4 linked regions of the Caenorhabditis elegans genome follow. The protein of the gene in region 2 interacts with the protein of the main gene of each other region in a pairwise test. Each region holds a gene or a part of one and is shown on either strand. Other genes may lie near its edges.

What was found.
Region 1: the proteins of dmd-6 (region 2) and tbx-39 interact in a two-hybrid assay, tested with the Caenorhabditis elegans proteins (one large-scale study listed by BioGRID).
Region 3: the proteins of dmd-6 (region 2) and nhr-88 interact in a two-hybrid assay, tested with the Caenorhabditis elegans proteins (one large-scale study listed by BioGRID).
Region 4: the proteins of dmd-6 (region 2) and hinf-1 interact in a two-hybrid assay, tested with the Caenorhabditis elegans proteins (one large-scale study listed by BioGRID).

The regions. Positions count from the first base shown.
Region 1 is NC_003282.8:15,321,235-15,327,270, reverse strand, and holds tbx-39 (Putative T-box protein 39), read right to left. Parts: upstream 3,379-6,036; coding exon 3,182-3,378; intron 3,130-3,181; coding exon 2,943-3,129; intron 2,889-2,942; coding exon 2,082-2,888; downstream 1-2,081. Other genes in the region: tbx-40 (Putative T-box protein 40), read left to right, coding at 1-332; Y73F8A.15 (DUF38 domain-containing protein), read right to left, coding at 5,091-5,293, 5,485-5,650.
Region 2 is NC_003282.8:14,613,699-14,623,907, forward strand, and holds the start of dmd-6 (DM domain-containing protein), read left to right. Parts: upstream 1-2,904; 5' UTR 2,905-3,012; intron 3,013-3,365; exon of another isoform or gene 3,366-3,386; intron 3,387-3,471; exon of another isoform or gene 3,472-3,492; intron 3,493-3,657; exon of another isoform or gene 3,658-3,678; intron 3,679-4,308; exon of another isoform or gene 4,309-4,329; intron 4,330-4,435; exon of another isoform or gene 4,436-4,456; intron 4,457-4,549; exon of another isoform or gene 4,550-4,573; intron 4,574-4,677; exon of another isoform or gene 4,678-4,698; intron 4,699-5,435; exon of another isoform or gene 5,436-5,456; intron 5,457-5,499; exon of another isoform or gene 5,500-5,520; intron 5,521-5,713; exon of another isoform or gene 5,714-5,734; intron 5,735-5,752; 5' UTR 5,753-5,756; coding exon 5,757-5,975; intron 5,976-6,029; coding exon 6,030-6,159; intron 6,160-6,483; exon of another isoform or gene 6,484-6,504; intron 6,505-7,825; exon of another isoform or gene 7,826-7,882; intron 7,883-8,318; coding exon 8,319-8,392; intron 8,393-8,810; coding exon 8,811-9,044; intron 9,045-9,163; coding exon 9,164-9,919; 3' UTR 9,920-10,209.
Region 3 is NC_003280.10:2,975,459-2,982,602, reverse strand, and holds the start of nhr-88 (Nuclear hormone receptor E75), read right to left. Parts: upstream 4,188-7,144; 5' UTR 4,179-4,187; coding exon 4,114-4,178; intron 3,699-4,113; coding exon 3,601-3,698; intron 3,335-3,600; exon of another isoform or gene 3,260-3,334; intron 3,215-3,259; exon of another isoform or gene 3,161-3,214; intron 3,029-3,160; coding exon 2,574-3,028; intron 1,848-2,573; coding exon of another isoform or gene 1,758-1,847; exon of another isoform or gene 1,673-1,757; intron 1-1,672.
Region 4 is NC_003279.8:14,789,519-14,797,093, forward strand, and holds hinf-1 (C2H2-type domain-containing protein), read left to right. Parts: upstream 1-1,521; 5' UTR 1,522-1,539; coding exon 1,540-1,945; intron 1,946-2,402; coding exon 2,403-2,849; intron 2,850-2,964; exon of another isoform or gene 2,965-3,053; intron 3,054-3,201; coding exon 3,202-3,623; intron 3,624-3,907; coding exon 3,908-4,024; intron 4,025-4,110; coding exon 4,111-4,344; 3' UTR 4,345-4,888; downstream 4,889-7,575. Other genes in the region: uev-1 (Ubiquitin-conjugating enzyme E2 variant 1), read left to right, coding at 753-756, 815-960, 1,010-1,279; mrps-27 (Ig-like domain-containing protein), read left to right, coding at 5,381-5,632, 5,856-5,996, 6,044-6,295, 6,346-6,702, 7,257-7,529.

The sequences.
Region 1 (6,036 bases), 710 kb from region 2:
CACCAATTTATGCTCAGCAATTTCCAGCTCCATTTGATGAAAAGCAAAATCAATTCTATCCAAAAACTGATGAAAATCTGGCGCCAAACTGTGCTCAAGATGCTTCAAGTTTGCCAAACTTTGCGATGAATCAAAAGGCTTCTTTTGCAAATCAATATCCATATCATCCATATTACCATCAATATTCTCAGCTTGATCATGGATCTCCATATCAGTACATGAATAACTCCATCAATTCCGACTCCTCTTTCCAGTCATCATTTTCTACTGAAAATTCGTATTTTGATGACAATGGAAACCCAATTCATTATCCCTATTATCCTTACAAATAATTTGTATCTTCATTTCTGTATGAGTACCTCCTTATCATGTTTTCCAGTGAGTTTCACGGTTTTTTTTTCCATATTTCCCCTCTAAAAACCAACTAACACTTTCCTGTGAATACATTAGACTTTTTTTTTCAATTTTTACTTATACTGTTTTATGTGGTTCTCAATTTCTGATCTATTTTCTTTATTTTCAATTTTTACGTATCTGATTTCCATTTCTATTAATAAAGTTGAACACTTTTATTTTGCAAAAATTGCTAAAAATGCTAAAATTAATATTTACGCACTCTGTTTTTACCAGGAAAAAAATTCGACAAAATAATCGACAGTAAGTTTTCATTTTGACCAATTACTTAAAACTCGAAACAGTAGTGTTCTCCAAATTTACGTTCATTTTCAGAATATCGAGTATTTTCAATTTCAAAATTATGTTCCCCACAACAAAACGTACTTTTTGAAATTATTTGTAGAAATATACAAACATTCTCGAGCAGAAATTGTTTCCTCAATTATTTTTTCATGGTTTCAAAAAAATAAATAATTCTACGAAAGGAAGATTGAGGTTTTCTAATTCTAAAAGTTGGTTGACTCTCTGGCGGAACATTTGTCTGCTTCAAGTTGTTGATATATTTTCATATAGTTTGAGTACAATTTGATATTTACTCACTGGAAAATTGACTCATAAAGAACTGAGAATGAAACAGTAAAATAAGTCAGAAAAAAATTACAAAATAAAACAAAATGAAAGAAGGCAAGAAACTCACAGGAAACTTTGAATTTTTATTATTATTTTTTATTATTTTTATTATCAACAGTAAGTTTTTATGCAATCCAATTATTTACAACTTGATACAGTTTTTTTTTAATACAATTTTTTAAATAACCAGAATAGTTTCAATTTCAAAAAATAATATTCTCCACAAAAAAAATAATTTAGCAGCAAAAAAAGTTTATATTTTTCATTGTTCAAAAAATAAACTTTGAAAGTGAGGGAATTTAATGTTCAAGTACCAAAAAATAAATAAATCAACGACAGGAAAAGTCGTCTGCTTTACATAGTTGGTATATTTCCTGTTTTTTTTTGTAAAGTTACGTATCTGCGGCCCACAATATAATCGAAAAATTTGAAAAATTTCAAATTTTAATATCCGAAATTCGGAATAATTTGACACGCAAAAATGATGTGCTTATGTTTCTATTCCACACTTGATTCATCAAAATTGAAACATTAAAATAAAAAAAAAAGCAAACTTTTTTGCTAAGCAGCTCCATAATAGGCTTTCCATCCGGGCGAGGTGTGTCGGGGGCGCCCTTCGCCCGCCTCTTTCCCGCGCCCCCCTCACGCCCGCCCTGACACCCGGTATGCAATTTGTCGTCGCGGTGTTTGCAGAAATGAAACAAATTGGACGCGCATTTAGAAAACTTTGCCATCACGTTATAATATTAAATTGTAATTTTGGCAATTATTTTTATTCAATAGTGGATTAATAGTGCAATGTTTAATTTTGAAAATGAATAATGTATGAATTTCTGAGCCCTTTTATCATAACGGTAAAGCAAGATTAGTGTTAAAAGTTTATTAAAAGAAAATTGATTTACAAATTATTGCGACTAGAAACAGAAAATTAGGTGAGAAATAATTTACAGAATTAAACAAAATGAGCTAAAGTCAATATGGACAGAGAAGTCAAAACAATCACAGGAAAATTTGAAAAAAATAGGAAACAAGGGTTAGTAATGAAGAAGTGACAATTAATTGCTAGAATAATATGGATAGTGGATAGGATTTCCATTTTCATCGAAATATGAATTTTCAGCAGAAAATGATGACTGGAAAGAGGAATCAGAATAAATAGAGTTATTCATGGAATAGTTGAGATGTGGAAACTGTTGGCTGGATTGAAAATATGGATAATAATAGGGATAGGAACCATATGGATATTGATTTGGAAATTGAGAGACTGGGTAATCTGGAGCATTCTGATGAATATTTTCCTTTTGATTGATCGCAAATTGTGGTACACTTGAAAGATACTGAACATTTTTTGCAACCCTATTTTGTTTAGTTTTCGGATCGAATTGATTGTGGATTTCATCAAATAGAGCTGTGAATTGCTGAACATAAATTGGTGGAGTATTGACTGTTGGATACGCATGTGGATATTGATTTTGATAGGAAGTTGATGGGAACTGGTGAATAGAGGAACTGATCTCATTTTGAAGCCTTCCAGAATTCGTGGACTCATTATAATTTTCTGATTGTGAGGCAACTTGAAGGATATCCGAAACAGCAATTTCTGTTTCATTTTTTGATCGTTTTGATGTTCGCTCTTCACTCGAATCAGTATTCTTTCTCTTGTTTCCCCCATCCAATCTATTTCCATATGTTGAGTTCTTGTGAAATTTAGATTTCCAATTTCCGATCGATTCTTGATTGTATACTGTGACTGGGAAAAATTGGGCTACTTCCATTCTCATAGAATGATTTGCAGATTCAACATTCGTGATATTTTTGACAGTGAGGACTGGAACATACTTGTGCATTGTTTCCACGAAAAACTGAAATAAAAATTAATTATAATATTATTTAGTGAATTAAAAATTCAAACTAACCACATTATCCTTGTCCATGAATTTTTTGTGATTCGTAATCCTGACTGTATCAAATTTAATAGTTTCCTTCATCAATTCCTTTCCAAGTTTTGTTCCATCTGGATGTAAGAAATATTTGATTTCTTGTTCTTTTTTCGTTGCATGACGGACTTTTGAAGGTCCCCATTTTCCATTTCGGTATCCATATCTGAAATTAAGATTTGTCTTTAATGGTGACTTTGAAAATCATTAAAAAATACCTGATATTGTCATATTTTTCAATTGAAAGAAGTACAACATATCTCGATTTCTCTTCCAATCCAGTAATATTGAAGTTGAGTTCGGGAAAAATTAGTTTCGGCCCTTTATTATTCACAATCATTTCCATATTTGGATACCATTGTTTCCATCGGTCTTCTTCAGCCATTGTAACATTGAATTGAGCTTGTGAAAACATTATTGAATCTGAATATTGAAAAAAAATCAACATATATTAATAGGAAGTATGAAAGAAAAAAAACGGTATACTAAACAAAATATTATAATGAATGATCCTCTCTATCCCTTTAATGTTTTAGACCCCACTTAGTGGGCGGAGCCTGAGCACTGGGTTGAGTCAACCAATTATCGATTGATTGTATTCACTTGCTCTCTTAGAATTGCTCAACAAAAACTGTTTGAAACTGGAAATCGTACTTTATATAGTGATGTCCTTTTAATCACTATATTGAAACAGTAACTTTTTGAGTGCTGCCGCATTTGATAAAAACGCCCGAGTTACTAATTTAAAATAAAAATACTAAAACCCGATCCAAAGCAAATTATTTAAGGATATCCACATTTAGACTTTTATTTTGTAGTGTCAATTTTCTGCGTGCTTCTCTATTCCAGATTACCTTTTCACATATTAATATTTCATGTCAAAGTTGTCTATTCCAAAACATTACGTTACAGTTCCACTGGTGACCTATATTCTTCCCAATTGTCATTCACATAATGACAATAGGTGCAAGGTATCCCCCACCTTAACATCCACCACTTTACAACTCTACTTCCTTCTCCTTGACATATCATTCCTTTTCGATCGATTTCCGGACACACACCTGACAATCCAAATGGTTGTAAACTTTATGTACTGGGAAAATATATTTAGTCTTTTGATAGATAATAAGCAGAAAAGTGAGAAAGTGTATACTTTTACAAAATTGAAAATATAGAAAATGATAGGTTTACATTTCATTGCAAACGTTATTTTAATAACAAAATTTCAGACAGAAAAGGATTTATTTGAAAAGTTTCTATTTTGGATGAAAATTCTACTCCGCTCTGCAAAACACTATGTCAGTATTAGTAAATATGTATTAGACATCACATTCTTAAAGAGAGAATTAATAAGCTGTAATTAAAAAAAAAATAAAAATTGCTGTTTCAACATTGTGATACATTTGCTGCATTAATGAGAGTAAGACAATTTGTTTGGTGGCCTTATTGATGTTAGTGAAATATGCCACATTTATTCTCGAAAATATGAATTAATTAATTAAAATCCCAACAGAAGTTACTTTTTTCTTGAATATTTTTCTATCGGTAAGAATATAGCTTCGGTTTACAATTTACTGAGATATATATGTACATAACTAAACTATTGAGCTGACAAATTCAAAAATATCCAAAAACAATCAAGGAATACAGGTTGAACGGATCATTGAGCATATTATGCATGTTGACATTAAAATTAAAATTGTAATACAAAAGTATTTACGGAGTGTTTTAAATTACTATAGTGAAACACGCAATATGTAGATAAACAATTTTGATAAAGTTAAAGACAGAATTTTTTTGAGTAGCCATTCTATTTAATTCCATGTGCATATAATTGTATTTTTTTCCGAAAAATTAACTAATGCTGAAATTAAAATTATGTTTCAATGTCCTGATAACTTTGTCACCATGTTTTGCAATTATTATGTTTTTCTCCCAACAATATTTTCTGATTGGAACTGGAATCAAAAAATCATTTTTAAAATTCATATTAATATCAACAACAAGTTATGCGTTTAGATTTACCAACGTTTAGAAACAGTAAAAATTATCAGAACTTTACAAAAATTCTTTTCGAGCAACTTCTTTATTCTAATCAAGTACTACTTCATTCATCACAATGGAATATTAATTGATAACAATTCCAGATTTAAGTCTCCATTTTCCTTCTTCTCCTTCACGCAATAGATAGAAATCAGCAATATTGGTTCTTGGCCCAACTACATGTGAAACATTGAACTTGATTTCATTTTTTCCTTGAGTAAAAATCGATGATTTGAGGATCAATGGCTCGGGATTCGGCTTGGTAAGGTAGCTTTCCACGAATAGAGCTGAAAAAATTAAACAATCATTAGAGTATTTAGTAGTTGAACATTCTAAAATTCACTATGAAAAACTACTTGGTAACCTGGAATTTTCAACAAAAAAATTGCTCCTAATGTTTCACAAACTGCTTATATGACCTCACTTTATGGAATAACCATTCCCTTTCCGACGTAGAATATAGTCATATAAAACTCACCTTTGGTAAAAATCCTCCCACGAACATTAAAATTGAAAGTATCCATAAAACAGTCAGCAAATGCACTTTTATTCGATGATTGAGCATCATTCTCCATATTTTGAATGAAATCTCGCACGATTTCCATGGAACCATCATCCACTGGAGCACTGGCAAAGAGGCCCATTTTGGCGGACAAGGAGAGTGTTGTTTTATGAAAACTGAAGTGAATTGATTGAGTAAAGTGTCGTGGTCAGAAGCCACGTGATTGGAAGTTCCAGAGCATCACGGGTTTACGTGAAAATTTAAAAAAAATTAACGCGAATTTTTGTTCATAAACAACTTTTTTCCTTTTCCTTCTGAAGCGGACAATTTTTCAATTAAAATTTCAAAATTATTATTTAATTTCACAGAGGCCGTGCTTAATGGTTATAATAAAAACGTTGGCCTTTTGTCACAAAGCTGAAACATACTATTTTTAATATTAACAGTACAGTATCTTTTTTATGTCATTAACTATTATTATCATTACCTATATATAAAAAAATAGTGTCCGTTTGTTAAGAAGTGACG
Region 2 (10,209 bases):
TGCCGATTCAAGGAAAAAGTGTGTGCTTGCGATATTGCAAGCACACAACACAGCCACACAGGTGCAGATTTTATATCGAGTTCAAAAGATTATAGTTGCAAATGGAGCTAGCTTTTGGTAATGCGAAGAATAACTTGAAACTAGAATGTATGTTTTGCTAGAGAAGTTCCAAAAAAACACATCATTAGAAAAATCAAAATGCCAAAAACTTTTGTCACTTTCCTGAAACAGTAAATAGTTTCAAAATTTTTTTTTTCGAATAGAAAGCTAAACTGACGCCATTTTGGCGCAGGCGGTTGTAAGCTGCACATCTGTTATTTTGCTCTCAAGTTTGATCTCGCATTCACCATTTTTAATTGAATCCAAAAATCCAAAAATCAAAATATGAAGAGGGGGCGGGGCCGTAGTCGTGATATGTTAAAAGTCCTACGTATAATTAATTCGCAGAACTAGAAGTGTAGGCTCCAATATACTTTTAAAAGCCGCTTGCCCACCCTCCAAAGAACATTTACAATGTTGTCTCCTCTGGCTGACTAACAAAAATACAGTTTGGAGAAAGATCAAACTCCGCCCCCATCCCGCCGCCATATCATCCCTTAGTATGTATGGGTCTGTCAATGACAACGAGTATTTATAAAATTGAGAATTCAAAAGATCACGTTTTCATCCATTATATGTTTGTCGTCTGCTGATCTTCGATTTATCGCATTATCAAACGTTGATCATTTCACCATTTCATTCAACGATTTCCAGTTGGGGGAAACCCTTAGGCTCCGCCCACAAATTGATGGCACATGTCGGTTCTCTTTATCTCTTCATTCGGTAGCATAAGAGGCGAGGATTTCGAACTTTTAATCTCGTAACTTCAGATACTGATGTTTCAGTTATATGTGTTTGAAGTTCAGTTTTCTCGATAATTTCCACCTGCTTTACTTATTTCCGCACTATGATTGGAGACTACAATGTTCTGTGAATTCTTAGAAAACTTGATATTTGATTTTAAAGTGTTTTCTGCCGACGTATAACTCAATACTGAAAAATTTTGCAACAAAATTTTTTTTGTGATAATTTTGAAACAGTAATTTTTTTTCAATTTTTTTTTTCAAATTCTATAAAAATATTTCTCGCAGTTGTTTTTCATTCTATTTCGTTCCAATCAAAAAATTCTGCGATCTCTTGTTCAACATCGTTTTCTCTGATCATAATCTCAACACAAGCAGCTTTTCCTCCATGTATTTTTCGAGATGTGACGCCTTTACAGGGAGGGCGTTTGATCTCTACAAAAGCGTGAGCTACTTAGTGGGGCCAGAAAAGTGCAATTTACTTGCATAAGAGTAACAACAAAAATCATAGCGACCCCCCGCCTGCCCGGCTGTATCTCGATCACGGATCTTTTGAGTAACATCAGTTCCAATTGAATATCCGTAATTTCCGTAGTATCCGTAGTATCCGTAGGCCGTAGTTTGTAGCAGTAACAATTTTCTGGATAGAAGTTTAAGAAGTAAATCTTAAAACTTGAAATCAAGAAATAAAAATTAATAGTTTAACTTTCGAAGTTTGAATGTCAAAATTTAAAAATTTTTAAAATTTGGAAATTTTTTTCACTGTTTCAAAAATTCCATGAAAATTCCTCGCCGTTTCAAGTGTTAGTAGTAGTTCTGAAAGATCCCAATGAACATTCTGTGACTCGATATCTCCACCTCCAGCAGCAGAATCCGTTCAAATGTGGGATTTCTGCATTTACCGTGTTTTTCTTATCTAACTCGGCGGATCTAACCTTTATTCACACGTACATTCAAGAATTCAGTATTTGTAGTAAGTGTAGTTGGTGAGAAATTAACTGAAAAATTAACGAAATCCGATCTTATTTTAAGTTTTCCAAAAAAAAAAATTACTGTTTTAAAATTTATTATAAGGAAACGGTGATTTTTTCGACAATTTTTCAATCCAATTTATTTCCAATTTATTTAACTGTTCTGAATCTTAATATAAACCATGTCGCTGGAAAATATAACAATTTTATGTGCAGTTGCAATAACTAAAATTTCCAAAAAAATTTGTTTTCCGCATTTTTCTAAGTTCAAGCTTGATTTCTCATTAATGGTCGCATCTTGTTCCTGTTACAGCCAGAAACCTAAACTTTTTTCACAATTTGTTACCTGTTTGGAATGTTAATATAAATTTCGCTAAAATATATATTTAAATCTGTTGAACTGCCGTTCCCGCCAAAATTGACCAATTTTAACTTTTCGGAAAAAAAATACTGTTTCAAAATTGCATGTTCCTAATTTCAACTTTCATTTCTCAATAACTTCGGTTCTTTTTTTTCCTGTTACAGTCAAGAAACTTCCCAAAAAATCCCTCAAGATATTCATCTCCCGTGCTTCGGCCTCTTTCTACCTTGAAACTCCTACATACGCCCTTAATACGAACTGTGTCTAGTTTAATACACTCGTTATTCCCTTCCATTGCATTTCCTCATCTTCACTTCATTCTGGATCGTTTTTGATTGGGATCTGAAGCTGCGTGGAAACTGGCTTTTTCGATGAAAACGTGATCGAATTTCTGCATTAAGAATCACTGATTAAAATTTTCAATTTACAGGTTCTAATTGTACTCTTTTTTTTTTGGAAATTTTTTTCACTGTTTCAAAAATGTTTCTTCTAAACTTTTCAACAAAACCTCACTGATTAAACTTCGTCCAACATTTTCCGACAGTTTTCTCTCCATATATACTTTTAATCTTTCGGTTCCCTCTGCGCACGTGAAAAATAATCGTATTAAACAGATTTCGTATGCAAAACTTTTCCATAATTTTTTCAAAAATCACAATTTTGGCTTCTCTCTTTCCAATTTACTATACAATTTCTCCGCAAATTTTTAAAGAAATTCCTCTTTTTTCAGACTTCATCTCACTTTCATTGCCAAATCATCAAAAAGAAGCCATTTTTGGTTGGAGCTCGTGTGGCTCAACAATCAAAAAAAAATATTATTTTGTGGAGCTGGTCATTGGTAAGTTCGTGTTTTTTTTGTTGCAAACATATTTAGCCACTTGAGGTGTCTAGGAAAACCGGTGAAGATGTTTGTATAATGTTAGTCGGAAGCACAAAATTAGTGCAAATGACGTGGCGGAGGAAACGGAAAAAATTCAAAATTTTGGACTTTGGAAAAAATTAACTGTTTCAAAACATTTTGAAATTTACACAGAGAGCATTGTTTTTTTTTATAAACAAAACTTAAGTTTGAAAATTGCAATAATTTTCGTCGCTTCTTGTAGCTTGGCTGACAACCACAAAGTTTTGGTTTCAAAAATATTTTACTGTTTCAAAAAGTTCTGAAATTCACAAATAAATGTTTGTTTTTGCTATGATATCGCCCTGTATTGGTCCCAATAAACTAAACTATTCTGATTAAAAAATTTTCAACTGTTTCAAAATTTTGAAAAAAGTTCCATTTTTTTTAAGTGTTTGCTCTATTCTTTCTTTAAAAGTTTCACCTTATTGTACATTTTGTAGACACATTTTGTAGACTACAAAGGCTACGTGTTTGCCAGTTCTTTCACTTTTTGCCGTGTCACTTGTTAGTCATTTCTTACAAGAAATGGGAACTTTTCTGTTTCACAATGTCTTTTTCTTTTAAAAAAGTTTGAGCTTCAGCTGAAAAGAAGCTGAAAATTTTTGTTCCTGCTTCAAAGAGAAAAACACTGAAACTTTGAGCTTTTTGTTGTCAATTTACTCGGCGATCTTTAAAGAGACGAAGAAAAAGAAGAAATGTTTTGTCTGGCGGTTGTGTTCTCTGTTTTTGCGGGTCCCCCAACTCCAGTTTTTTGATCACTTATTTTTCCTATTTTTTTGAATCATTTTTCTTGACTTTTTCTAGATTTTTCTTCTCTGGAAAAGTCACAGAATGATGATGATAAAGTTTGTGATCAAAAACACACTTTTCGACCTCTTCAGTCATTCAACCCGGTTAGTGGGAGGAGGTGGAGAGTAGGTCAAATATTTGCACACCCCGCCTAAACTTTGTACCGCCCAATTTTATGTTCATTTTCTGTGTGCCGTGTGTAGTAGAGGAGGAGCAACAAAGAACCGAACTTACGGAACTTTGTACCTATGGAATTGATGTGTTTTGTATTAATTTCTATATTTTTTAAATTCTGTCGAAAGCACTTTGAACTTTGTGAACTTTTCATATTTTTATTTTGAAACAGTAATTTTTTTCTTCAAAATTTGAAATTTCAAAAATTCGAATTCAAAATTTTAATAAGATTTTAAAAATCTACATAAATATTTTTTGTTGAAAAATGATGAACCTACTTCGTTGGTAATAGCAAAAAAAAAAGAGTCCACAACATTTTTAATGCATATTTTGAAACAGTGAAAAATTTCACTGTTTTTAAATTTTTACGTATACATAACCGCAACATAATTTTTGATTTGTATTTCTTATTAGGAGTAAATTGTTATTTTTAGTCAGTAATCAAATTCATATGCCAAATTTCACAAAATTTACAGTGAAAGTGTTATTAAATTTCAAAATTTGAAACCGTAATTTTCCTGTCGTTCTACAAGTAGTATGCCTCTACTTTGAAATAATCAAACATTTTCCGTGAAACAGTAACTTTTTTTCGATTTTTAAAATTTTTGCAAATCCTTTACTGATGTGAGTTTTTTTATTACTAATAGAATCACATAAATATTACAGTTCCAGTTTTAAAACTCTTAAACATTTTCTGTGAAACAGTAAATTTTCATTAAGAATTCCAATTTTCAAAAATCATCTACAGTAACCTAGTTATCTCCATCTAAACGCTTATTTCCTTGTCTGAAAATGTCTTAATTTACTTCCTCTAGATATTTTCTACTTATTTTGCACAACCATCCTCTCATTTCCGTGTTCTGCTTCTTCTGTTTTGTGCTCCGTTCGCCTGGTCATCTATTTCTCTCTGTGTGTGTTCTAGATCACAATTTGTGTTGTGTTCTCCAGTGTCTCTGCTGCTTCGCGTTAGCATGTTTTTCACCCAATTTTTGAGCTTTTCGAGCCCAGACTAGTAGACCCCGAGTGATCTTCGAACACCCCCCTGTGTGTGTGTGTTCCCCGCATATGTGATTATTGAACCACTAGGGACTGGAAAAATAGGAACGAGGAAGCTGGAACACACACCCATCGAGTGTGTTTTTTTTCGAATGGGAAAAAAAAAAGAAATTACATATTTTTTTCTCTTACTCTCTTGTAGGTCCCTTTGTAACTTCCGCTTTGACCCTTGGAGCTCCTCCTCCATTTTTGTCACTATTCCTGATCAGTCTTCATGATTTTAGGTTAGCTAAGGTTAAGCTCTTGTGGATTACTGTAGTACTCTTGGAATATATATGTCTTGAAGAAAAATTACTGTTTCATTATTTTCACAAGTTTATACAGTGATCATGTTGCATCAATTTGCTGTGTGCATCTAGCAGAATTACTGTGAATCATTAAATTCAGTAAGACAATTAGATTTTTTTCGAAATTTCGGGAGCTTCATTATGTAAATCATAACTAGCCAACGAATATTCAAGTTTTGAAACACTAATTTTTAAAATTTATTGAAATTTTTTAATATTTCAATTTTCTGTTTCTAGAGGTCTGTTTTTTACACATATTTTAAACTTAAAAAATTAAAAGAATTCCTGTTTCACGCTGTTCGTAAGAAGTCTTACTTTGAAAAATCTTTTGCTCTCCTTCCGTACATATCTCAAATTCCCAATTCTTTCAGTAAAATGAGCCCACACATCATCGCTACTGTAACCATCGACGACGAGCATCATCATCATCATCACCGCAGCAACGAGAACTACTCTCCATCATCCCAAGACATGGACTCCCCAAAGCCAAAGGGACGCATCCTTTACTGCCGAAAGTGCGAAGGACACGGCGAGAAGGTGATCCTCAAGAATCACTCACCACAGTGCCCATATATTCTGTGCAATTGCAAATCGGTAAGTTCTAGAAGAGTCTGGGAGCTATTTTGTTTTCAAATTTTCAAATTTTAGTGCGAGAAGCTAAACTACAAGCGCCTGAAGTCGTTCAACAAGAGAAATAAGGAAAAGATCGAGTTGGCAGCAGCTCTGAATGCAAAGAGACATGCTCCAGAATCCGGATCCAGTGTTGACGATGAAGAAGGTGAGCTTTTCCCTGATCTCTGTCTCCTACTCCTTCACTATCAAATTAGAATCCATATAGTACCCATAGATCTCTGATTTCTCAGTTGTGTTTTGGCGCTTACTCCCTAGTTCCCCCACAAATATGCATAACTTCCGTCTAGATTTCCACAAAAATGTACTCGGTTGTTTTGTTCGTTTCTCGTACGCGATCGAAAATCTCTGTATGACTAACAACGTAGACAGCAGAACCACTGAAAGATCAAGTGTTATTTCAAAACTATTTTGGAGTTTGCGATGATGTTTCATATTTGTTAGATATTTTGGAAAGGACATGATCTTTTGATTTCAAGAGTTTACTACAAAATTCGATCCCATGACATTCACTTTTCAAAAACAAAGCAACTATTTGCCCAACTTTTGCAAAAAAGTAGACTGTAGGTACCGGTACTAGACTAATCTTTTGATAGTGTTATCAGTTTTTTTCCTTTATACCATTACAAAAATCACCTGATTCTTGCGCTTTCTGATCGTTCCAGTGTAATTCGTCGCACTTTTGGAACGCCGCAATAACAAAATTCTATATTCAGAACAAGTGTTCTTAGATCGCTGAAAATTCTATTTCCTAGTTCCATCCCTCGAATCTACGAATCTTGTTTTCGTCGTCTTGATATATACAAAAATGTGTGTCCTGATCGACTCGAACCCTCCACTGACCTTTTTGTTTTGCTCATTCGCCATCTACTTGTTTTTAGTACATTCCAGCAACTCTTTCTCCTCCTCCCCCCCCCCCTTTCATCCCTTCTCTTCGGTCGCTTCAGGACCTTGCACTCTTTCTCATTGCGTCTGCACACTCTCATCACATCTGTACTATTTCTCGTTTGCCCTGTCTGATTTTCGCAACTACTAGTCTACTCGGTTCTCATCGTCCTCTCGTTTTTCCACGTTTTTTCACATTTTAAGGCACACACACACACACAGAGAGGATGACGAAAAGGCGCTCACATTTTCAGTACACAATCACTTTTCTGTGTATGTGTTTGTGTGCCCAGCCTCCCGAGGACGACTGTCTCTTCTGTTATTCGCGAATATTTCAGGCATTTCGTCTAGTCTTCATTTTCATTTTTATGTATTATAATTTCGGTTCTGTCTTCAAAAAATTGAGCTAAACTCCTTGGAACGTCTTCCGTTTTGAGTTTTAGCTCCCTGGTTTGATCCCTTATGCAGCCCGTCTACGATCTTTTTGCATTTGATTATACGTAATTATTTTCTCTCTCTCTCTCCTTTTCATTTTTCACAATTTTCCCACTCAATTTATCTGTCTACAAAGTTATGCTTTGGTGTCTCAATGACTCACGACGGTTGGCACATATCTCGTGTCAGTTCAAAATAATAGCAATTATCATTTGAATATCCGCTGACCGATGGTTAGATTGAGCACGTATGCGCGTATGCTGGCCAAACAGAAATAGAAATTCCAAGTATGTGTCTGGAGCCGCCGGCTCGACTGTAAACAGATTTCCGTCACTTTTCTTGTTCTCAATTTTCGATGTCTACATATAAATGAATAGAGATTAGAAATCATCAAAATGGCGTTGACGTAGGCAAATGGTGAATCACATTAGCTCACATTACGTATGATCCCTGTGTTTTGGTGTGCTGCTCTTTCATATACATTTTTTTTCATTTCTCTCTCTCTCTCTCTCTCTCTCTCTCTCTCTCTCTCTCTCTCTCTCTCTTTTCTAATAGGACTGAATCAGTGGGAGTAAGTGTACACAGACTATGAAAAAATAATGTAAAAAAGGTGAGCAACACACCAGTCGCACCAAATAGTGAAGGATTTAAAGATCACCGAATTTCTATTCGCGTCTCTTTCTTCTTCCTCTCTCTCTCTCAACATGTTTCGTCTCCCATTTCACTCCGTCGTAAGCCGGCGGCATTATCCAGTGCGAGACTCCTTTCCCAAGTACGGAACCCTTGTGTCCCTCTACTGATCTTTATCCGGCACCTAGTACCTGTCCTATATACCCACACTCGGGGCCCCCCGAGAGAAAGAAAGATGCATTCGATTTTCTATTGTTTCTCATTCTGCAGTGAAACGCGAAACACTTTCCATTTTCTTCTTTTCCAACACATACACACACACAATATGTTCCAATTCAATATTTCGAAACTTTTCAGGCTTCTCCCGCCGTTCCTCATTCTGCTCAAAAACTTCAACACCAGACATGGACTCGGAGACGAGAACCTCATCGGTAAGTATTCTCCACCTAAACTAGACTCTTGTTTTGCACTTCATATGTGTAAGGCATCTGTCAATAGCTAGCTGGCTTTCTTTCTCTGAAATCGCGGTTTCTTAGGAAAATATTCTAGTCTGCTCATAGCTCTCACGCGCACCTTGACCTAACAGCTGCATGAGAAGAAGACGTCGACGACAGAACCAGTGAGAGAGGGAAAATTCTGATCTTATGGTTTTTAATCTGCTCCTGCTCCAAAGCATGCGCTCTCTCTCTCTCTCTCTCTCTTCGCACGCTGCTCTGGCTCCCTCCTCACGCAGCGGCGCTCACATTTTGTCAGAATAGGCGGAGCAGGTGCGCGAGCCCTGTTATTACTTTATCTTCTCATACTCTTGAGCTCATTTCCAATCTCATGCTCAACTATATTCCATTTCAGACGACTCCTATCACTCGTTCCAACTCCACAATGCCCACAGCTAATGGTCTTGAAGGACGAAGTGGCTCACTTGGGCACATGACAGTCATGTCCTATGATATTTGGAAGGCCAAGTGTGCATCAGAGAGAAAGAGGCTTGAAGAGGAGAGACTCACAAAGCCTGAACTATTCACCCGATCTCCATCACCTGGCCCAATGAGGAAGCGTGCTCACACATTTGTTGCTCCGCCAACGGTTAGTTGTCTAGTTTTCTAGAGAGTTCTAGAGAGTGATCTATGGTTCTGGCGAGCCGTCGACATCACCCTTTTCTAGCCTAATTGTGATTCATCATTTCTCATACATGTATTTTTCAGATTCACACGCCAGACATCCCGGTTGTCGCCGCAAAGAAGATGTCACTTGATGAGAAGGTGAAGGGCAAATTCATCACACTTCCGACGATTCCTGCGATGAGAATTTTTGTGAACGAGGAGGATGAAGATGTGAAGCCAGTGACACAAATGCAATTGGCTCAGCCGATCGCTTTAACTCCATCACCACAAATGTCACTGGCCTCCACACTTGCTCAGATTCCAATGTCTACTCCGGTTTGTATGCCTTCAATGATCACGCCGACGTCTTTCCTGGACATTCCATCGACCTCGAGTCCAATGCTGCCATTCCAAATCTCCACGACGACTTCTCCGATGCTTCAGCGTCAGACACCAATCTTGACACCACAGATGTCTCCATTCAAACCAGTCGGAGTCGCTACTCCACAGCCACCTGCGCTAAGCAACTTGTCTGCTGGACAGGAGCTATCCTCATTCATCCTTCATTCCGTCGTACTTCAAGCTCAACAAGCACAACAGAAGACTGCACAACAGTTGATCCCGACTTCTATGCCATCAGAGTTGGAATCAACACTTTCTCTTCTCCGCTTGCAACAATCATCGTTGGGTGATTTGATCAAGCTCAGTGGAATCCAACTTCCAACTCTTCCAACCACTCAGCCAATGCTCACACCTCAAATGCCAACACTTCCGATGATGCAGAAAGCGTTGCCGACTGTTTTGCCAGGATCCTTCCAGCCCTTCCTTCAACCCACACTCTTTACCAACCCGGTCTAAGTCAAAGAATCTTCTAGAATTCCACCAAAAAAACCCCCGATCATAATACGATTCGCTCTACTCCGTTCATCTCTTTACTCATCGTCTAGTCCTTTCACACCCCAATTCCTGCACCTACGGTGTTTTTTTGCCATCTTTTCATACTTTTTACTATCTCTTCGCTTTTACCCATTTCCAGTTCCTCTCTCTCTCTTTTGCTCTCAGGCTATATGTGATATTCACATTTTTCTCCGTTTCACCTCTTTCCCCCGTTGTACATCCCTCTCCCACAACAACACCGTCTCATTTAA
Region 3 (7,144 bases), on a different chromosome or scaffold from region 2:
TAGGACCCCCCCTAATTTGAAGGTTTGAGGAACTTCCGAAAATTTTTTTGAAAAACTGCTAATGCCATTCGTTTTTAAATTGAAAAAAACCTATATACATTTTTTTCCAGAAGTTTATCTCAAAAACTGAGGTCGCGCTGGAAAAAACGTCAAAATCCAGTGTGAAACTTCTATAGGACCCCCCGTTTTTTTTCACGATTTTTACTAAAATCAACAGATTTTGGAATTTTTGACAAAGCTCAAATCAAGTTTGAGTTAGAAATGAGTTCAGATAAGCAGTTTTGACTTTAAAAAATTAATACGAAATGTTCTCGTGGGATCTCCAGACTGGTTCTGATTCTTCCGATCTTTGATGTTCAAGTCTGTTTCAAGCTTCCTGGTGCTCTCGGTAATGCCAAAACTTGATAAACTCTCTTTAACAAGTTCCTACTAAAATTCCTAGCACACACACCATAAACATTTTTACGCCATCCCCAAGAAACCAGTCAGAAACAGCGTATTAACAAGTTGCAGTTATTTTTGATCAACAACAGAACATTCATATACTAAAATCAAGAAAGGATCAATAGTTAATCGGGTTTCCTTGTGTGCGGATGTTCTCAAACAGTCTGTCCTCCATTGATCTGACCAAACTTTTCAGCTGGTTGTCCGGAATAGACTTCCAAGCGTCGAGAATTCCTTGCTTCAACGATGCAACTGTTGGGTAAGTCTTGTTCTGAGCATACACGATACGGACAAGAATCCCCCACAAATTTTCGATTGGATTGAGATCAGGACTTCGAGCTGGCCAATCAAGAAGGTTGATCTTCTTGAGCTTGAAATAGTCGCGGGTTGAGTTGCTCACATGGATTGTCGCATTATCCTGCTGAAATCTAAAGTCTTTTCTGGAGTAGTGACGAAGATATTTGGAGAGCTCCAGTTCCAAGACGTTCTGATAGTCAGTGCTGTTCATCTTGCTACTGACGAACTGTATCTCAAGCTTCTTCTTCTCCGTGAACGCTCCCCAAACCATCACCGTTCCTCCTCCAAAATTACGTCTCGAAAAAACCATTGGTTCCTTGCGCAAATCGCGCCAATAGTAGCGGCAACCGTCAGGCCCATCGAGATTGAATTTCTTTTCATCGGAGAAGACAACCTAAAACAATGATCCTAATTATTCACTCTTGCTTTTTTAAATTCTCACTTTACTCCAATTCGTTCCCATATTGTTCTTAGCAAATTCCAATCGCTTGAGTTTATGGTCTGCAGAGAGTAACGGAGCAGGGCGAAGTTTCTGACGAACGATTACACCAGATCGTTTGATGACATTGAGGATGGTCCTTTTTGAAGCAGACAATTGAAGCTCATTGCGAATATCTCTTGCCGTCTTACAGGAGTTGGAGGCAGCACGAATCACATTTCGTTCGTCACGCACGGAGAGAGCTTTGCGACGAGGAGCTCTTTTAGATGTACCGTAGCTCACCGGATCCTTCAGATACACGCGAATACAGTGTCGAGAACGGGAAATTTTCCTACTCATTTCATGCAGGGACACATTGAGCAATTTCATAACATCCAGCTGAGCGCGTTCAGTGTCCGAAAGGGCAGATCCTCGAGGCATTGCAAGTTAGACTGCTTTCGAAGTAAGCTTTCCAGCCTCTATATGTGTGCCACAACACATGCCACAATTCCACATTTAATAATTCACGCAAAAAATAGTAAATAACATCTGTGAGGGACAATTTAACTTGAAATATTGGTCCCATGGAACCTTGTAATCAAAGAAAAACGATTTGATTCCTGATAAGCCTTCCATTGTTTCCTGCTGCATATTTTGCCAAATCAGCTTGACTACACAGTCGAAACATCTAAAGTGCGTGCTAGGAATTTTAGTAGGAACTTGTTAAAGAGAGTTTATCAAGTTTTGGCATTACCGAGAGCACCAGGAAGCTTGAAACAGACTTGAACATCAAAGATCGGAAGAATCAGAACCAGTCTGGAGATCCCACGAGAACATTTCGTATTAATTTTTTAAAGTCAAAACTGCTTATCTGAACTCATTTCTAACTCAAACTTGATTTGAGCTTTGTCAAAAATTCCAAAATCTGTTGATTTTAGTAAAAATCGTGAAAAAAAACGGGGGGTCCTATAGAAGTTTCACACTGGATTTTGACGTTTTTTCCAGCGCGACCTCAGTTTTTGAGATAAACTTCTGGAAAAAAATGTATATAGGTTTTTTTCAATTTAAAAACGAATGGCATTAGCAGTTTTTCAAAAAAATTTTCGGAAGTTCCTCAAACCTTCAAATTAGGGGGGGGTCCTATAGAACTTTCCCACACTGTATTTCAAATTTCTAGAAGCAGCCGACATTTGCCTGGTTTCTAGAAACAGCCGACATTCGCCGGGCTTCTAGAAGCAGCCGACATTTGCTTAGTTTCTAGAAGCAGCCGACATTTGCTTAGTTTCTAGAAGCAGCCGACATTTGCCGGGCTTCTAGAAGCAGCCGACATTTCCCTTGTTTCTAGAAACGGCCGACACATCACGGGTTACTGGAAGCTCCCTTCAAGTTTACCTAGGAGCAGCCGACAACTCACCGGAAAGCTCTCCTGATTTCTGACATATTGACTATGGAACAAAGTGGACACATCGAAATCCGGGTCATTCTTCATCATCATTGATATTCCAATAGGCATTGTGATATGATTATTCCCGCAAGTCGCCTGATCTTCAACATCCAATAAAAATGACAAAATAACATCTTCATTATTGGAAACTGGAGAATCGCAGCCATTCGGTGAGGGTAGGGATGCATCGATGCTTCCACTATTCGTGTCGGACTTCATCTTCTTCTTCCGTGGATTCTTCTGCTTGCCGATGACGTCACGATCCGGTCGAATGGCTTCTGGCTCCATGCCAACTGTCAGGCAACGCTGGAACCGGCAGTAACGGCATGCGTTGCGTTGATCCTTGTCGATGGCGCATTTTTGGGTGAATCGGCAGGTGTAGGTCTGTTGGGATCGGATTGTTCGGCGGAAGAAGCCCTTACAACCTGAAATTTTAGAAATTTGAGCGATATCTCAAAAATTGAATCTTGAAAAAGTTGTGTAAACTATTGAAATATTCCAGTCGAAAACATGAATAAGTCATAAATTGCATGATTTTTGATAGCTCAAAGTTTAAGCTCAGGCTTAGGCTTAGGCTTAAGCCTAAGCTTAGGCTCAGGCGTAGGCTTAGGATTTGGCTCAAAGCTAGGATTAGGCTTAGGCTTAGGCTTAGTCTTATGCTTAGGCTTAGGCTTAGGCTTAGGCTCAGGCCTAGGTTTAAGCTTAGGCTTCGGCTTAGGATTAGGCCTAGGGTCATAAACTCAAGACCTTAGGCTTAGGCTTAGGCTCAAAGCTAGGATCAAGCTTAGGCTTAGGCTTAGTCTTATGCTTAGGCTTAGGCTTAGGCTTAGGCTCAGGCCTAGGATTAAGCTTAGGCTTATGCTTAGGTTTAGGCTTAGGGCCATAAACTTCAGACCATAGGGTTAGGCTTAGGCTTAGGATTAGGCTTGGGCTTGGGCTTTGGCTTAGCACCTTAGGCTTAGGCTTAGGCCTAAATTGGAAAAAAAGAAAAACTCACCATAACAAGCCATTACTCCATAGTGTTTTCCAGCCGACCTGTCTCCACACACCATACACTGCCCATCACCATTATCCATTCCTGGCATGACCTGTTGACTGAAATTTTTTTAAAGTTTTTGGGGGTTTTGTATCTCAATTGTAATCTGTGAGTACTGTAGCTAGGTACCATACGGGTACTGTAGTTGGATTAGGGGTACTGTAACTTGACACCATATGGATACTGTAACTCTACTTAGTTCCTTTATGATTACTGTAGCTAGGAACCATTTGTGTACTGTAGCTATGAACTATATGGGTGCTGTACATCAGCCCATATGGTTACTGTAACTACTGTTGCTATGTACAACATGTGTATTGTAGCTATGATCTATTTGGGTACTGTAGCTAGACCCCATAGGGGTACCAAAACTAGACTATAGGTACTGTAGTTAGGTACCATATGGGCACTGTAGTTGATTCAGGGGTACTGTAGGTGATAGACTATGAATACCGTAGGGTACTGTACACTCACCCATCATCCTCGTCTGTTCCAGAACCATGATGTCCATAGGTATAAACCGTCGAAGGAGCAAACATATAGAGATGCTGCAAAAAAAAGAAGATGAGATTTTATATTATATTTTTAGTCGGAGCAATAAGTAAAAAATGAGAAAATAAAAATCTTTGATGCTTTGAAAGGAAGGGAGAAGCGTGACGGATATGAGGGGGAGGGGATAGAAAAAAGAGCAAAATGAGCAGAATATTTTTGAGTAAAACTTGAGAAAAAAAGAGGGAAAACAGCTCTAAAGCCTAAGCCTAAGCCTAAGTCTAAGTCTAAGCTCAAGAATAAGCCTAAGCCTGAGCTTAACCCTAAGCCTAAGCCTCAGCCAAAGCCGATTACTAAACTTTGGTCTATGCCTAAGCCTAAACCTAAGCCTAAGGCTAAATATAAACCTAAGCCTAAGCCTAAGCCTAAGCCTAACCCTAAGCCTGAAACTAGGCCTAGGCCTAAGACAACCACGCAAAGAAAACCAACCGGACAAAACTGAAAAGTAAGTGTCCAATTTTGGCCTGACCCCCAATTTCTCAACAAAATTTCCCGCCAAATCAATTTTTAGGAACCAGTTTTCTCTTTTAAGATGATGTTTTCTGTTTCTTTTCGTTTTTTTTTTTGAGAGAGAGTAACCGGGGAAAGTTTTAGGGGGCAGAAAGGGAGAAAGATTGGAAAAGAAAATTGGGGAAATTTCGTTCGACCGGTTTTCTGAATTTTCTGGTAGAAGTTGGATGGGGGAATTTTGTGGGAATTTTTCGGGGGAAATTGAAAATTTTCAGATATTTTAGAGTAATTTTGAAAATTGTCGGACTGTAGGAATTTTTCCGAATTTTTAGAGCTTTTTCCAAAAAAATTTTCAGACTTTTTTTTGAAATTTTTTAAATGGAAATTGACACCAAAAATTGCTCTTCGGCTAAAGACACTTAGATATCCTAATTTTTAAAGGTACATAAACTATCACTTTTAAAATTGCGGAAAAAAAAGTTTTTTTTCGAAAAAAAACAACTATCTGAACAAACAAAAAGTTCTAGATTTTCCGTCGATCTCAAATTACCAACGTTTTTTTTCTTTTTTTCTCGTCATGAATTCTCAAACTAGAAACAACTTTGTTCTGTTTTGAAAAAAATTAGAAAATTGGTAATTTTTAATCTCAAAAATTTGAAAAAAAAATCGGGAAAAATTAAAAAATAATTTTTTAAATAGATTTTTACAGGAAATGTATGGTTTTTTTTGAAAATTATAGATATTTTAGAAACATATAAAGTTTAAAGAGAAATCAAAAAAAACCTCCCAAAAATTAGGAAAGTTTTTGAAAAAAAAACAATTTTTGGCAATTTTTTTTCAAAAAATCGAACAATTCCAAAACTTCCCCAAAATCAAAATTTTCCAAATTTTCCAAATTCCATACTAAAATCATGCTCAGGGATCCATAAAATGTTGCATTTTCTTTTCCTGTCTCCCCCAAAAAAATGTGGAGGTGAGCTCTCTTTTTCTCCGGAGAGCCAGCGGAGAGGAAATTTTTTTCTCTCCATTTTTTTCTAGCGTCTCGTGCGTGTTTGTGTGTATGTATGTGTATGTTTAGAACGGAAACATGCATTACATTTCGAAACCTTCTCCCTTTTAGTGCTCGAGCCCCCAGAAGCTGAGAAGGGGGGCAAAAAGGTGGAAAGAATTTGTGGAGAAAAGGAGAAAAAGGAGAAAAATGTGAAGGGAAAAAAAGAAGAAAAAAACGGAGAAAAGTAACAAACTTGTGTGGTGGTGGTGGCAGAAAATGAGGGCGACACGACGAGGACAGCGTGGCGTGTGGAGGGAGAAAAGTGGGCGGAGCCTCTGGAAGGTTAAGCTCATTTTGTAGAGAAAATTACAATGAGAAGATGACCTAATTTTTAAGAAAATCTGATAAAAAATGAAAGTTCCAAGTTTGAGAAAAAAAATTTCGAAAATTCGGAAGAAAAATAATAAATTTTTTAAAACCAATTTTCTTGGTTTTTTTTGTCTCATTTTGTAAAATTTTTCCAAAATAACGTTTAATCATTAAAAAAATATTCTAAAAATTTGATGTAAAAGTTTTCAAAATGAACCGACCCTGTGCGGTGTCAATCTTGTAAATTTTTTTGGAATAAAACAGGAAAGCTTCCAGGATTTCTAGTGAACAAAAATTATGCAAAAAATATTTTTAAAAATTAAGTTTTTGAGCTTTTTTTAATTTTTTGAAAAACTTTTTTTCTTAATTTTTAATTTGTTTTCCATATTCTTTTTTTTTTTAATTCCACAAAAAAATTTCCCAGTTTCTGAGTACCCGTGTACCTACTTTGACATCAAAATAGCTAAAAAAAACAACTAACTAAAAATGAATTTACTAAAAGTAGTATGACGCGAAGAAGTTGAAATGTTCATGTTTCCCCCCAACTTTTATCCTTTGCCAAATGACGCGAAAACAGGTATTTTAGTTGTTTTACAGGGTCATTTTATACGGTCACGTGTCGGCAAAAAAAGAAAAAAGTTAACTGATATATTCGTCAAAATACTTTTGTTTTTCTTGAAAATTAAAATTTTTTCTGTTGAAAAAATTTCAATTTGAAACTTTCAACAAAAAAAAATATTAGTATTGCCAAAACGAAACAGAAAGTTCGCAACCGTTTTTATGGCAATTTTGTGTTTGTTTGAATCGATTTTGGTAACAAAAAATTGATAAAAACGCAGGTGATGAGATAAGCTTATCAGTTGGGAAGACACTATGTGGAAAATTAGAAGGAGTGATGACGTCATAGGAGTTGAGAATTGTTTTTGTATGTTGAAAATAAATATGAATTGCAATTTTTGATAATTTTGTCAGTTTACAACTTTTCGATAGCTCTAACTGTTCGGGATATACGGTTGACCTTTTTTCTAGGGTGCGCCAACTTTAAAGCTTGATATCTCCGCAACGGCAAGAGTTACCAAAAAATTTTAAATTAAAAAAATGTATAAAATTTAATTTTAAATAATTTGTCAGTTGATAACTTTTTGA
Region 4 (7,575 bases), on a different chromosome or scaffold from region 2:
CGTACTCGCACTGATTAGGCGCACGGATTTATTCGGATGGGTCTCGCAGCGAGAAAAATGTTATGGTAACACTTTGTGGCGGGACCAATCCGAATCAAACCGTGTACCTTTAAGTACGCGTTCAGAAAATTGCGAAATTACTATATTTTTGCAACTTTTGTTTCATTTTTCCGTAAAAGGTTTGAGTAAATGTTTATCAAATTATCGACTTTTAGACTATTTTTAGTGTTTTAGCAGAAAATCTCTGAAAATTCGACAAAATTTGATTAGAATTACATAACAAAAAACAATTTTAAAAAGCTAGGACATTGATTTGCACGGGAACTCAACAAAAAATCAGAAAATTGATTTTCTTTTAGCAAAATTGAAAAAAAAAAAACAATTTTTAGCAGCTGTGCCTTTAATACAAAACAAAGATTGAAACGATGATAACCAATATTCAATTTTTATAATTTTTTTTCGGTCGCAAACAAAATTGTCATCATTTTCTTGTGATTTTATTGAACCCAAGTGTTTCATTTCAATGTTCACAGATCTTGTCCGAGAGGACTACACAGTTAGCCTTAGCAAACGCGCTCCACTGGGCACTCACACAAATCGAATGAGCGCGCGGCAAACGAGCGTCAAGCCGTGCTAGCAGGCGGATTGTCCGACGAAATTATCGATTTTTTCTTGATTTTTCGGATTTTAAAGCAAATTTCTTTGTTAATAATTTCAATTTTCAGCGTTCCAGCAACTTGGGCACTTTCAAAATGGGTAAGTTCGCTTTCTAAATTCAAAAATGATTATTTTCGCATATTTTTCTCTTTTCCAGTCGATGTACCACGCAATTTCCGTCTGCTGGAAGAACTTGAAGAAGGACAAAAAGGCAAGGGAGATGGAAACATTTCGTGGGGTTTGGAGGATGACAGCGATATGACTCTCACCAGATGGACTGCTTCCATCATTGGTCCACCGAGAGTGAGTCAGCGGAATTAATCATTTTTTATTATTAGTTTTTTGCTTTCAGACTCCATACGAATCGCGAATCTACAATCTGCAAATCCAGTGCGGCGGGAATTATCCGCGAGAGCCACCAACCGTTCGTTTCACCACCAAAGTTCACATGGTGGGAGTCAATCAGAGCAATGGAGTGATTGATAAGCGAAATTTGACAACACTTCGCAACTGGAGCAATAGTTACATGATCAAGACCGTGCTCGAGGATATCCGCAAGAACATGATGATGGCCAAAGAGAATCTGAAATTGCAGCAACCGGCAGAGGGCGCCATGTTCTAAATTCTTTTATTGATTTTTTGTATACCCAGTTTACTCTCCCCGGTAGTAGCTTTCCCCTCGAACTTTTCCCCCACACTTTATTTATAATTATTATATTATTCGCCATTCAATTTCCATGTAAAATTTTAAAATTTCAATGTGATTTTTTTATTTTTTGTTCTTCATTTTTGCGTAATTTTAACGCATTTCATACCTACCTGCTCAATTACTGTCTCTTTCGAGATTTCAATCATGTTTTTCAGATTCAATTATCCTAAAGTATGTCATATGCCGATTTGAAACCAGTCAAATTCGATTTCGACATTCAATATCAACCATCCAGCCAGCATCCTCCGTACTATAATTCGTTTGGAATTGCCGAGCCGGATCCCCGTCATAATTTGTACGCACCAACAGCACCACCACATCATCATCATCACCACCATCAGCACCAGCCACAACAACATTTACATTATATGATTGATAGTCAAGACTCAGATAGTCAGGATTCTGTGGACTCTTTCCGTACACCTGCACCGATCTCGTCTGCAACAAGGTTTTCTACTCACACTCCTCGAGCTTCCAGAGCGTCGAGTAACGATTCTGAGAGCGGAGAGCTTAGCGAAGAAGTTATGAATCATTGGTTGCCAATGACTTGGTGTGAACGATCGTCGGATGATCCACAAGGTAATTAATATTCAGATTTTCGACAATGAGTACTAACGGTTCGGAAGATTTTGAACGTATATGCCCAATAGGGGTACGCATTTTAATTTCAATAAATTCTGAATTTTCAGTAGAAGATACATCGTTTAAAATTATTTAAATGTGGCTTATATATTTCGGCGGTGCTTCGAATTTATTTATAACATTCAAAAATATTGAATTTCAGAGGTTTTACACTGCTTTTAAAGTCAAGAAATTTTTTGAAAATCGGGCTACAAAATGATGTGTAAAACCTCTGAAATTCAATATTTTTTGAATTTCTAAAATGGATTCGAAGTATTGCCAAAATATAAATATAAGCCACATTGAAATCAATTTCAACGATATATTTTCACATGCTGAACCCATGGTCGCGACGAGGCTCAATCTGATCCATCACGCCAACTTTTGTTTAAAACTAAACAATTTAATTTTTCAGTTTTCACATTCGTCTGCCTATGGGGTCAATGTGTGTCTAGCTCGTCGAGCAAGGACGAGTTCGTTGATCATTTATTCGGCCACGTGTCAGTAATCGAGGAAGGAGTTCAAAATGGGAACCATATGAATACTGTTCAGTGCAAAGTTCGCGGGTGCAACAAGCATCTCGATTCGATATTCCAACTCCACCGACACGTCTCAATGCACGTATTCCAAGCAGATTGTCAGCAAAAAGGATCAGAAGCACTGATTGAAAAGGAAGATTATATTGGAATAGAGAGTTGTGGTTTTGAGCCATGTACAAATATTAATTATGAAGGAATGCTGCTGAATTGTCAATGGGAGGATTGTGGAATGCCGTTTAACTCATTAACCGAACTGTTTGATCATGTCGGACATCACATTGATGGTGTTGGCGATGTTGATAGAATTCAACAGAATTTTTCGAGTGAGTAAGGATTTCTGGACAGTGACAATTAAATTTCCTGAAGAAATTTGTTTTCACTTTAAAAAACTGAAATTTTCATCGAATTTTTTGTTTAACTGGACAACTTTCAATGCCGGAATTTATTTCTTACTTAATTATCGCCCTGATTGCAGATTTTGGTCTGTTATTTCACGATTTTTTGTTGATTACGGTGATTTGTATACTAATTGACTGAAAAAGAATTTTCATCAACGAAAAATCGTGAAATACGACCTAAATTTGCAATTGAGGATGATAATTAAATAGCATCTAATTTTCCGCTCAAGATTATTCCAACAAAAAATTTCCTTTTAAATTCTAATATTCTACACAGATGGCGACAAAAAAGTGGTGTTCCCGTGTAAATGGACCGCCTGCACACAAGTTGCCGATTCAAAAGCCAATCTCCGACGTCACGCTCGTCACCACAGCGGTGAGAAGGTGCTCGCGTGCCCATTCTGTGCTCGATTCTTCTCCCGACGCGACAAGCTCTACGATCATTGTCTCCGACGAACAATTCTGATGAAGAACCCGGAAATGGAAGATCCGTATCTATGCAAACTGTGTCAAAAGCGATTTGGAACTGAAAAAGCGTTATGTATGCATGTTACACGGCATTTAGTCAGTCTTACGTGCCCACTATGCTCACTTGGATTGGGTTGCCGAGCAGAACTTCATAGGCATTTAATGACAAAGCATTCAAGACGATCCAAAGATTTCAAATGTGATACTTGCAGCAAATTGTTCTTCACAGAGGTAAGAAAAATATTTTTGTCGAATTTTTAGGAAAAATTGTAAATGAATATCAATTTATCAAGCTTCAGGCAATTTTAGATTTTAGTTCAAAAAAATGTCTTATGGGCTTTAAAATTGCCCAAATCTACCGAATTTCGTAATGAGACATTTTGAAAATTTCTCAAATTTCTACAACAAAGCTCATTTTCTGCTAAAATCAAAGTTTTTGCCAACTTCTCGGTGTCGCAGCCTTTCGAACATACTTTTTATTACAAAATATTTTTAAAAAATTTCAAAATTTTCAGAGTGAGCTCAACCGTCACGCTGTGTACCATTCTGACGTCATGTACAGTTGCAAGCATTGTCCGGAGAAGTTTAAGTGGAAGAAACAGCTCATGAAGCATATGAAAGAACATGATGAGGTAACCGGTGTTTTTTTTTCAGAAAATCGATATAAGAAAACTCGTGGATTTATTTTATTCTAATCGTTTAATCATCCGATTTTCAGAATTTCAATCCATCCCCATATACATGCCATTTGTGTGACCGAACATATACTACTGGATTTGCATTGGGACGCCATTTAACCCGTCAACATCGTCTCCAGATACCCTATGGATTCAGTCGTTTTACTTACAAAAAGTGTGCCGATGGACTTATGCGACTTCAGACGAAAAAGTTGTTTAGAGGAGAGTCTGGAGAGGATCAAGCCCATCACCACCATCAACATGTTCCATATTAAATGATTATTAAATATGTTAAATTGCCCTCACATAATTTATCCACCTTTATGTTAAGGAAGAAGGGGGATTTCGCTCAAAAATACCACAGAAGCAACTATTTCTGAATTTCAGCTCACTTTTTTGTGGTTTAAAGCGAATTCCCCTATTATCCACACCTCTCATTTTAATTATTCTCTTTCAGTAATATTCTGATCTCTACCCCTCTCAATCGCATGCTTTCTTTTTTTTTCCACCAATTCTTACCAAATAATCGCCTTTTTTGTTCTATTTATTATGCTTCTATCTATTCGATCTCTCGCTCTATCCATTCTTTCCTTATTACTACACCCCTCTCACCAAGTTGTCTTACAATCAATCGATCGATGCCCCAATTCACTTTAAACACGTATGCCACGTGTCTTCTCCCACAAACACATTTGATATATACTTGTACTGTTTGCAAAATTTTCAATGTTCTAATTTATAATTTAATAATTATTTCCTTTTAACTTTGGATTTTTTTTTTCAATTATCTAATCTGAAATAAATATCTACACGTATTGTTGGACAATCAATTTGTCTCTAAATGCGGTATGAAACCAATTCATTATTTTCCAAAAAAAAAAAAAAACTATTAAAATAGGCGATTACAAAAGGAAATTTATTTAAATTCTGGAGAATTGAAAATTTTATGACTACTGAAAAACTATTTACTGATTTTCCGAAAAAGTCCAATTTTATTTTTGATGCAATTTTCTATATTTTTCTTAAAAACTGATTGACATTCTTTGTAAATGAAAATTAAAAAAAAAAACTGAATTTCTCGATTTTCAACAAAAAAACGACAAAATATGTAACTTTTAAGAGTTAAATTTCAATTTCTCTGAAACAATGTCAGAATGTTTTTTCTTTCTAAAAACGGTGAAAAATTATCGAATTCGAGAACTTAACTTGATTTCGAACTTTAAAAATTCAAAACATACCGATAATTGCCGGATTGTTGAAAATTTAAATTGCTAATTGTAAGACCCCAATAAAATAATATTTCATCTTCAGATGCTCTCTAAAAACCTTCTTCGAACTTTTATAACTCGCCGAAATTTCCAAAAATCCATTCGACAGCCCGTTCTCTCCTCAAGTTTTTCACTGGAAAAAGAGTGGTCGGATCGCCACGTGGCTCTTGGTAAACTCGGATTGGGTGGAGACTATGAATGGATCAGTGCTGTACAGAAGAAGTTTATTGGTGGTGGATATGCAAGTGCAGTTGATGTTGATGCAGCTGTATGTGTTGCTGAGCAGAAAGATCAAGTAATAATCAGTTTATTAAATTAAAGGAGAGTACCTAAATCTGAGAAATATTAATATTTTTAAATGACCCCCAATTTTCCCCTCATTCCTAATAATTTTGAATTTTTTCACTAAGATATTGAGGATCAAGGGAGAAGGGTTGGGGGTAATTCAAAAATAAATCTCAGAAATCGGTACTCCACCTTTAAATAAGCTTTTGTATGGATAATAATCAATTTTTCAGGTAGATGACGTCATCGAACTACTGTATAAGCTTCGGCATAGTGTGAAAGCAGCAGAAAAGTTGGAATCAAGTGAATATGCAATTGTTCGACTGCTTCTCAAATACCAACCGGAGACTATTATCACGTTGGCTAATGACCCGGTAAGGATAGTCATAGGAGATCACTATAAAATCGAAAAGTAATACAGATCAACTATGGCGTATTTCTGAATCAACATCTTGCCTGCATTGTCATTGATCATTTTCTGAAGACGTCAAATATTCAAGCGGCCGCTCGTATTGTTACATGGATGATTCAACAAGAAGAACTTGATAATGAGCTTTTGAATATTCTTGGATTATATGTTTGTGCAAAATGGGTTGAATTACCTGTTGAGCAACAGACGCTTGATCTCGGAGGTGCAGATGATGAGGAAGAGGATATTAATGATGATGATATTGTAGGAAAATAATATTTCTATTATTATTATTTAAATGTCATCAATTTCAGAGAACATTCAAATTCCCATATCTCAAAAATGACAGCTTTGATGAACACTTTGATCTTTCAAATCCTCATCATTTAATCGGAAAGTCTCTTCAATGGCTGTCCCGGGACACGAAATTTATCGATTCTCAACTGAAATCCAGTTTAAATGCTCTTGGAGCAGTGCTCTTTGAAAAACTCGCAGAAGCCAATTCGACGATTTCCACGGCGATTCCGTGTGTTAAATCAATTGTGGCTGGGAAATTGGCTGGGAAAGAGGAAGAAGCCGGTGTGAAAAACATTTTGGAGTCTATCGGAGAGGTTGAAGAGGCAAAGGAGAAACTCAGTGATATTATTTTGGAACATTTGAAGAAAATTCAGGTATGATTGAGAATATTTTAAATTTCAAATTTTCAATTGAGAAAATGTAATAATTTTAAAAAAATAGATTTTTGTTCCGGTTTTCAGAAAAAAGTTTAAAACGTGATATTTCTTCGATTTATCCAATTTTTCAGTGCTTCCTATAAAAATTGGAATAAAACGTAGTAAAATGTAAAACATAATACTTGAAAAAATGTCGCTAATTAATTTTTTTCCGAAAAATTCGTTACACGGTGAGTTCAAAAAAGTTAGTTTCCTGCCGCTTGACAAGTCAAATTTCAAATTTTAACTAATTTTACGTCATTTCAACATAATTTTTTTATAAAAGTTTTCAAGAAGTTTCATTATGAAATTCGGAGTTTTCAACAAAAAAAAATTGGGTCTAATAAAGCAATAAAGAACATTCGACTACACCACCTTTAAAAAGAGACATACCGAGAATGCAGATTTATCAACACACCGTTGATTTCAATTATTCACACACACTTTTAATAAATCTTAATCCAAAATTCCGTTTTTTCTGGATATTTTAAAACTTTAAACAATTTTTTCAGGTCAGCGAAGAAGATTCTCTCTGCGCCGTGCAAACGAAGCTCTTCGGGGAATGGAATGAACGTCGTCAGGCTTTGGCGAAATCTCAAGCTCAAAAAGTGTTGCTCCGATTACGTCAAGATGAGATTCGTGGAGAGCTGAAACAGTTGGACGAGCAAGAAGAACAAATGAGCTTTTTCAAGAATCGATTAATCTGGGAGAAACGGGCCGCCGAAAATACACAAATCGATGAAGAATCTAAACAGAGACATAAGAAGAAAGAATCTACTGTTTAAATATGCAATTTTTGTGAAAAATTATGAATTTCAGAGTGTTTTAGTA